Linked DNA regions of Caenorhabditis elegans. The protein of the gene in region 1 purifies or fractionates together with the protein of each later gene. This does not show direct contact. Each region holds a gene or a part of one and is shown in the gene's direction. Other genes may lie near its edges.

Region 1 (4,599 bases):
ACTTGATTTTCTGGTGAGTATCAGAATTTTAATTTGAATTGAAAAAGTATAAACGAAAAAGTCACAAGTGCTACTATAAATTTATTTCGCTGTAAGACCTTTCTGTTTGAATCTGTTGTTTCATTAGGTTTCAAATGGGCACCGTACTTTCTTCAGAACATATCAATTCTTATAACAGAAGGTTTATTTGCTCGTTTCTTTATTTACTTTACACCAATATGCCCTGTTCTCGCTGATTACTTTCAATCTCCGCTTGTTGGGTTTAAGATTATAATGTTATTAACTCATCATGTATCAATTTGTAAATCCCTTTTACAAGTTTTGTTAGTTTTAAATCGAATGACGTGTGTCCTGTTTCCAATAACGCACGATTCAATATGGAGAAAAAGCTTGAAATATGTGATTAGTGCAGTTTTTTTAATTCCATTTTGTGCTGACTGGAATATTGCTATATCTCGAGTTTACATGCAATCCACGTATGGAGGTTTCTGGGTTAGCTATTTCAAGAAAGTTAGCTGGGTAAGTTCATCTGTTTCCATTTCTTTTTTGTTTTAAAACTAAAAGAAACTGAAGAAACTGTTTTAATGAACCACATACAGAAAAATAAAAGATGAACTGGAGAGACCCTTACAAAATAAATGAGTGTGACTTTAAGGATTCCAGATTATACCAAATTAGACATATTACCTCACATGCGAAAAACTACACTTTCGACTGAACTTTTTGTTCAACAGTCTCGGATCCCGAGACGAGTAAAATTTTTCAGCTACCGTACCCGCAACAATGATAGATCATCAATCTTTCTATTTGTCATTCTCTCTTTTTGTGTTGATCATATTTCTAGAATTATGCGTTTTTTAATTCTGAAATATTGAAAAGTTCTGGGAAAACGAGAAGATAAGCGGGTACAGTAACCCAACACACTTGTTCGTGACAAGAACTGAGGCTGGGAGCACATTAAATATGTACATTATATTTAATATTTATTGTTTCAGGCAAGCCAATCTCGTTTTCAACTTGTTTTTATTATTATTGCATTATCATTTACATTTATATGCACTGCAATTACTTTGTTAAAACTTCCAGAAAGATCAAAAGAAATAGAAAAAGCAATCTCTAATGCAACGGTTATCATATCCATTGGGTTCACTTTTAAAGTTTTATTTCAGGTTATTAACTTCTGAATTTTAAAAAATATCTAGAACATTCAGATATACTACAGCTTTTTCTTCTCATACACTGATGCATCAAGCCCCGTTTATGGATTTAGCTTTTTAGCTCTAGACTTTTTAACTGTTGGTTCTCCAATTGTAATGATATGTGTTAGCAGAAATCTTCGAACTCACATTTTTAAAAGTAAACGAAAAAATCAGACACTGTCAAAAATGTTAACTAGAACTTCCGGAATGGTGATTGCTCGTTGAACTTTTTCGAATAAAGTATTGTTTATTCAACAGTATGTTTTATTCAATCATGTTGAAATGCATGCTGCACCGTTTTTAGAACTACGGTAGATTACTGTACAATTAAGGTTAGATATATCGTGGTATTTATATTGGAGTTTGTGTTTTCTGCATTTTTCATTTTTGTAGGGCTAGAAAATCTATATATTTTCGGAAGTATAAATCTTTTCCTCAAAAACATTCCATGAATACGCATTAATGCGATTTTTTAAAAGCAAACAATTCGATTTTAAGTTACCGCCAAAAATCAGTTTGGCGCCAACGCTCTTTATTGGCGCCTTATTCGCTTCAACATTTCGAATTTCGGCGCGAAGGTTACACTTTTTGATAACAATTTTGGGCCGCGGCGCTCATTTCTGCTTTCATCGCCCAATGTTTCCTCCTTTTCTTTCTTAAATAGTTTCACCACTCATTCTTTTCAACTGAATTTGTAATATTCTCATGAAATTTTAGTTCTGTTTAACTAGTTCCCATTTATCTCGTTGCGAAATTTATTATTAAAAAGTATGGAGGTGATTTATTCCGAACTTTTTCGAATCAGAAACTCCTACTTTTTTCTAATAGTGTTATTTTTGTTTAATATTCACATAAGTTCTTCCAGATTGAAGCTTAACTATGACTCTCACCGAAACCAGCCTGTCTCACAATGCCGAAGAGGGAAAGGATGAGGGAGGCCGCCTTCAACAGTACAAGAATCTCACCAAGCATGAAGTATGTTAAATTATTGATAACAGATTTCATGCAAAAATGTTACTATCCGACTTATTTAAAGTAATTGCGAGATTTATTTATTTGTTCTGTTCAGGAGCTCCGTCGTCGTCGTACTGAATGCAGTGTTGAAATTCGAAAGCAAAAAGGAGCGGACATGATGATGAAACGCCGTAACATCGTCGACGTCGATGAAGGTGGCAATTCGGAATCGGAGCTCGAGGAGCCAGAGAAGATATCTCATCAGCAATCATCAACCCGTTTGTCAAATGATGAGATTAGAGCTATTCTCTCCAACAATCCATCGGAAGATGATATGGTTCGATGCTTCGAGTCGTTGAGAAAATCACTATCAAAGACGAAGAATCCACCTATTGATGAAGTCATTCACTGCGGTTTGCTTCAGGCTTTGGTTCAGGCATTGAGCGTTGAGGTAGGTCGATCTTTATTTCCATTCAATAATTTCCAATTTTCAGAACGAGCGTGTTCAATATGAAGCAGCTTGGGCTCTTACCAATATCGTTTCCGGTTCCACCGAGCAAACAATTGCAGCTGTTGAAGCCGGAGTAACAATTCCACTGATCCATCTTTCAGTTCATCAGAGTGCGCAGATCTCGGAGCAAGCTTTGTGGGCAGTCGCTAACATTGCTGGAGACTCATCTCAACTTCGTGATTATGTTATTAAATGCCATGGAGTGGAGGCGTTGATGCATTTGATGGAGAAAGTCGATCAACTGGGAGATTCGCATGTTCGTACCATTGCATGGGCATTCTCCAACATGTGCCGTCATAAGAATCCACATGCCCCATTAGAAGTTCTTCGTGTTCTGTCGAAAGGTCTTGTCAAACTTGTTCAGGTAATTGTCAAAATGTTCGATCGCAATTAACGTCTTCACTTTAGCACACGGACCGTCAAGTCCGTCAAGACGCATGCTGGGCTGTTTCTTATTTGACTGATGGACCAGATGAGCAAATCGAATTGGCACGAGAAAGTGGTGTGCTTCCTCACGTCGTCGCTTTCTTCAAAGAAGCTGAAAACCTTGTTGCTCCGGCTCTCCGAACTCTTGGTAATGTTGCAACTGGAAATGACTCGCTGACACAGGCGGTTATCGACTTGGGATCACTCGATGAAATTCTTCCATTGATGGAAAAGACGCGATCATCAAGCATTGTGAAGGAGTGCTGCTGGTTGGTGTCCAACATTATTGCTGGAACTCAGAAGCAGATTCAAGCTGTCCTCGACGCAAATCTTCTCCCAGTTCTCATCAATGTTCTGAAGTCGGGAGATCACAAGTGCCAGTTCGAGGCTTCTTGGGCTCTTTCTAATTTGGCTCAAGGGGGAACAAATCGTCAAGTTGTCGCCATGCTTGAAGACAATGTAGTGCCTGCTTTGTGCCAAGCCCTTCTTCAAACTAACACTGATATGCTGAATAATACTTTGGAGACTCTGTATACTCTTATGCTCACTGTTCAGAATGGGTATGTTTTTATTAGATAATTAGCACTCTCAAAAATGTGATTCCAGTTACCCTCACAAAGTGGACATTCTTCACGACCAAGTCGAAGAGAATGGTGGACTTGACAGTTTGGAGCGCCTCCAGGAAAGTCAATCGGAGCAGATCTATACTCAGGCTTACCGCATCATCACTCAATTCTTCACCGACGATGATGCTGGAGAGAAGGAGTCTCATGAGAATGCCGATCCACAAGATAACAAATGGAGTTTCTAAATTATTTCACACTTATCATCATTCTAGTAGTCATTTCATAGTAACATTCTTCTTTCTCACATTTAACATTGGATTGTTTTTTTTAGAATTACCCTCATCTGTGTGTATTACCCGTATTTATATTTGACCCCGTTTTAACTGATCTCTTCACTTTAAATTGACAATTTGTTTAGAATGAAAAGAAAGTGGAACATATGATTTTTATAACCGGGAAAACGATGCGCGTATTTTTCAATACGCATTCATGTTTCTTTGTTGAACTGTTCACTCGCTAATTTGAACATCCGCGTTTTTGTCTATGTGTTCGTCGCGGGACCCATCTGAAAATTGTCTGCGCCTTTAATCTGGACTCAATATCCCTTGTTTTTTCTTTTCTTCCGGCTGAACTGAAATGATGCCTTTTGTCGTTAATTTTAATGATTTTATCACGAAATTTGAAAAATAATTTCCACTTGAAGCATTTGTCACAATAATGTTTGGTTAGGATAACAAAACTTGACAAGATCCGGCTCATAGTCCTAAAAAAGTTTTTTAAACTTCTTCACAGCTATTTCTCGGTTACTTCAAATTTCTCAGCTTTTTCCAATAATTAAAATTCAATATAATTCGTTAAATCACACATTAATTGCAGTACATCCAAACTCAAAATGATGATCAAAGTGGGAGCCGCTATTAATGGAACAGACAGTCCGAAGGTA
Region 2 (4,771 bases), on another chromosome or scaffold:
TATTCTATCAAAGCGTGATTCATTCTTTGCAAAGTATTCAAATTTCGAATTTCCTCGGAAGGTACGAAATCGTCGAAAACGGATGTAATATTATTAAGAAGTCCAGTGATGTCTAATTTGACAATTGGCTCTCCTTTTTCATCAGTTTGAACTTCATAAGTAACATCCTTCGTCTGAGGAACACATATTTTATGATCTGAATTCACCGGAGAACTTGGGTCGGATGGTGGCTCGTGAGCATCGATTTTCATTTTAGGAGATGGTTTCTTGTTGTAATGAACAGCTGCATCATAATTATATTTGACATCTGGAAAATATTTTAGTTTTTGAAATGTGAAGAACCTGTACTTTCAGGTGTCATTCCATTTGAGAGACACTTTTGGTAACGGCAATATCTGCAGTTAAATCTATCTTCGTTGTTTGTTGTACATTTTTCATTTTTCTGACGGCATGTATACTTCTTTCCAAGTACGGTTGTTCTTCTGAAATATAGGTTAATACTGAAATTTTGATTATACGGATTTTTCATATTTAAATTCCAATTCTATATTTAAAACAAACCGAAAAAATGCTGCACATGCTCGACAAGAAGCAACCCCAAAATGAACACCATGAGCTGGTTCACAACAAATTTTGCATGTCAAAGTAGAAGAAGTGGGCTCTTGGAGCATATTAAATCGAATAAAAAAGAGGTCAGTGAGAGACTAACAGACTATGTGTCTTGTGCTCTTTCTTCAATTGATATGACGATTGTCCCAATTTTGATAAGATACCATGACATGCTCCTTTGATCAATATTGTGATCGGTGTGACAGAGCAAAGAAATCGAATGTTTGTCTTGTGAGATGGGTCAATGTGTTTTCTGTAAATACATTTAAAAGTTCGAAAAGTCGGAGACAAGTGGAACTTGGCAGACGACAGTTTACCCAAAAAAAAATTGGTTCGAATATGAAATATTTGAATCTAACCTTCGTATGTAAAAATGTAGATGACGATTTTTCTCTGGTGTCCCAAAATAATTGCTATTGTTGAATAGGTGCATATGAAATAACTTTTTTTAATTGGAATACTGGTAATTTAATTTTCTAGTGTTATGCCAAATGCAAAGCTTGCGCCAGGTCTTTCTCAGAAAGTGCATCCTTTGTATAACAGAACCCTTCTGCAGAATACAATTTTTCATAATTATTAAATTATTTTTCGCATTCGCGAGCTGGAAAGTTTTCATCAACTCAAATTAATCATTACATGTAATCCGCTAAACTCATTGTATTGTATACAGTATCTAGATATATCTGTATACAGTATTGAATTTAGTAGTTACTGTGTGCAAAACAGTTCATTTGCACGTGAGCGTACGCCAACTCACAGAAAAACCTACTCCTAATTAAAATTAATTTTTTTTATTAATTAAAATTTTAATTTAATTTTTTTTGATATTCTTCGCGTACTTTTTGTAGAAACATTCATAATTATAAAGCCCCACGTTTGAATAAATTGTTCAAATGTTTTATTAATTTTAATTTTTCAATTATTGCCTCTGAACATAACAGAAAACATTTAAATTATCAAATTTAAGCGAATAAATGTTTAATTTAAAAAAAAAACACACGTATGTAATGTTCACAATGTTTAGTATTTCAAAAACTTTCAAAATATTGCTATTTATTTCAAGTAATAACTGACAGCACTTGAACATTTCGAAACATTTCCAAATTTTGTCTCCACCCATCAGTTTCCCTATAAAAATCGTTTGCTTTCCTTTCACTCGTTTTCTCTGACTTCCTCATACTCTCTGTCGTATCTCAAATACGTTCTCGTTTACATTTTCAACTCCATTCTTTCCCACAAACATTCCTTTTCAGTGAATTTTTGATTTTCGTTGCCAAGTTATTCCGCTCTCATGTTAGCAATTTTTGAAACTCTCAACGCCTTTCTCGTCTTCTTCGAAAACATTTCGTAATATTGTTTATTTCAGAACCAATCATGGCTGATGAGTTGAATGAATTCCAAGAGGCTGGAAATTTTAACGAGGAGGCATTGATGAGACTCTCTAAGTAAGTTTTCATCAAAATGAAACGCTATAGAAACGTTTTTTTCCAGCGTCTGCGCCCGACTTCGCCGTATGCAAATGCTGGAATCTGATGTTGAGATTACTGTTGTCGATGGTGAACTCAAGAGAGTTCCTCGTCAAATGGAGAAAGTCAAGGATGGTCAAGTGGAGAATAACGCCGGAGGATTCGTTTTTCCTGTATCTGATGAAACTCAAGTTCGTCGCTTCTTGATCCTCGGTTCTGACAAAGGAAGCTATCATCAGTCGTCTGAAAAGATCACTATAGACAACGCTCAAAGAATCATCAAAATTATTGAGCAGGGTAACGGACATATGGTTTTGAAAGAGCTGGCATTGATCAATGCTGAAAACCGTAATCCAAAGATGAACGCAATGATCTTCACATTGGCAATTTGTGCTCGAATCTCTACTCATGACACAACGAAGAAAACTGAATGTCCAATGCTCAATGCCTACTCAGATTATATCCGAGCTCTTCATGATTCAGCGCTCGATCTTATTCCGGAGGTTTGCCGTACACCAACCCATCTCTTCGAATTCGTTGATTATTGTCAAACAATCTCTGAAAGTACTAAAGCAGGAGGTGCTAAATCTTCAACTGGATGGGGTCGTTCAATGAGAAACGCCATCAGCAAATGGTATACCACAAAGACAACTGAAAAGTTGGCAATGTTGCTCACAAAATACCCACAACGTGAGGGATGGTCTCATCGCGATCTTTTCCGACTTGCTCATCCCAATCTTATGGATAGCCGTTCTCATGGCCAAAGCGAAGATCGTCTTGAAAGAGAGCAATTGTTCCGATTTGCGGTCAAGGGAGATTTAGTGAAAAGAAAGAGAAAGATGTCTGTCGAGGAAGTTGCTGAAGTTGAGAAGGTCTGGGATAAGAAAGCGTTGAAGCTTCCGTACACCGAGGAACAATTAATTAAGGAAGAACAGAGCAGGTCCGATTTTTGACCATTCTCGGTTTTAATTTTATTCTTGAGTATATAGTTATAATTTATTTTTCAATTAAAAATTAATATCAAAGAAACATTTTCAGAGCTCTCAACCTCGTGGAAGCGTACCTCAAGCTCAAAAACGAACAAAGCGAGGAAGTCATCGTAGCAGCTATCAAGAAACATGGACTTGTCCGTGAGCATCTGCCAACTACAAGTCTCAATTCAAAACTTGTATGGGAAACACTTTTCGATGTTTCAATGCCAATGACTGCTATGATTAGAAATCTTGCAAAAATGACCGTTGTGGGCGCCCTTGATGAGAAGAGAGTTGACAATATCGTGAAACGTCTCACTGATCAAGAGGAGCTGCGTCGTTCTCGAATTCATCCAATAAATCTTCTGACTGCCCGTGCTGTCTATGCTCAAGGTCGTGGTGACAAGGGAAGTCTCACTTGGGAGCCAAATCAAAAGATTTGTGACGCCCTTGAAGCTGGCTTCTACAAGGCATTCGTGAATGCACCACCAACTGGAAAACGATACTGCTTGGCTCTCGATGTTTCTGGTAGCATGACCTCTCGTGTCAGTTCGTCACCACTCTCATGCCGTGAAGCTGCTACCGGAATGTCTTTGATCAACCTTCACAATGAAGCCGAAGTTAGATGTGTCGCCTTCTGTGATAAGCTCACTGAGCTTCCGTTTACTAAGGATTGGAAGATCGGACAAGTTAATGACTACGTTAACAACCTTGATGTAAGTTTCATAATGATTTTAATATTGAATTTAATATTAAATTATTGAATTTTCAGTTCGGCAGAACAGATTGTGGCCTTCCAATGACTTGGGCAACAGAAAATAATCTCAAGTTTGATGTCTTCATTATCTACACCGACAACGATACCTGGGCTGGAGAGATTCATCCATTCGAAGCCATCAAAAAGTATCGTGAAGCTTCTGGTATTCATGACGCGAAGGTCATTGTGATGGCAATGCAGGCATATGACTACTCGATTGCCGATCCATCTGATGCTGGTATGCTCGACATTACCGGATTCGATTCGGCTGTACCACAGATTGTTCACGAGTTTGTTACTGGAAAGATCTAATTTATAGTACTGATCTGTTATTTATTTCGCATGTTTCTTTGTTCATATTTTGTCATTCCATAATAAAAATACGAGGATAAAATTCTTTCATTTGGATTGTTGGATATGATATAGGAACATAGTACATCCACGAATGATGGCGCTATTTGGTTTTCACAACCGTAGCTTGTGAGTAATATTACAAAACGATGATGGAATTTTGAAATGGAAAGAACTACGGTCTCAGGTGAATAAAAAGGATAGTATACAAAGGGAAGGAGGCAGAACAGGAAGAGATGAAAACAAAGAGATTTCTCATTTTAATTCGATATTTACTGAGAATAGATCAAAATATAGTCACTGTAACGACTAAATATTTGTTTAAAAAAGGATATCTGAATGTCAGACAAAGGGGTCAGTTTTCTACAGTCTGCAAAACAGGCTAAAATCGCAATTAATTAAATTCAAGCCATTGTGGTGTCAAATTATCCCATATCATAATCTTCGTTGTCTTCACTTGCTTCATGAATTCGATTGATACTTCCCATAACATTGTGGAATGAGAATTGTGTGAAGTTTGATTGCATTTCTTCTTGCTCATCGACTGTAGCAAGGGCTCCGCTTCTACTAGGCGGTGTCAGTTGAACTGGTTGAGATGTGAATTCCTAAAATAAAAT

What was found.
Region 2: the proteins of ima-2 (region 1) and rop-1 fractionate together in Caenorhabditis elegans (co-fractionation; one large-scale study listed by BioGRID). This does not show direct contact.

What each region holds. Positions count from the first base shown.
Region 1 is NC_003279.8:6,313,169-6,317,767, forward strand, and holds ima-2 (Importin subunit alpha-2), read left to right. Parts: upstream 1-2,064; 5' UTR 2,065-2,078; coding exon 2,079-2,174; intron 2,175-2,268; coding exon 2,269-2,604; intron 2,605-2,647; coding exon 2,648-3,028; intron 3,029-3,072; coding exon 3,073-3,650; intron 3,651-3,696; coding exon 3,697-3,901; 3' UTR 3,902-4,099; downstream 4,100-4,599. Other genes in the region: srg-14 (Serpentine receptor class gamma-14), read left to right, coding at 157-519, 996-1,169, 1,212-1,424; hrpk-1 (Heterogeneous nuclear ribonucleoprotein K homolog), read left to right, coding at 4,549-4,596. UniProt on the Caenorhabditis elegans protein: Nuclear transport receptor that mediates nuclear import of proteins, and which is involved in sister chromatid cohesion. Binds specifically and directly to substrates containing either a simple or bipartite nuclear localization signals (NLS) motif.
Region 2 is NC_003283.11:10,252,260-10,257,030, reverse strand, and holds rop-1 (RNA-binding protein RO60), read left to right. Parts: upstream 1-1,975; 5' UTR 1,976-1,983; coding exon 1,984-2,054; intron 2,055-2,100; coding exon 2,101-3,015; intron 3,016-3,113; coding exon 3,114-3,762; intron 3,763-3,818; coding exon 3,819-4,115; 3' UTR 4,116-4,193; downstream 4,194-4,771. Other genes in the region: nhr-232 (Nuclear Hormone Receptor family), read right to left, coding at 1-307, 349-482, 562-671; Serine/threonine-protein kinase akt-1, read right to left, coding at 4,580-4,759. UniProt on the Caenorhabditis elegans protein: RNA-binding protein that binds to misfolded non-coding RNAs, pre-5S rRNA, and several small cytoplasmic RNA molecules known as Y RNAs.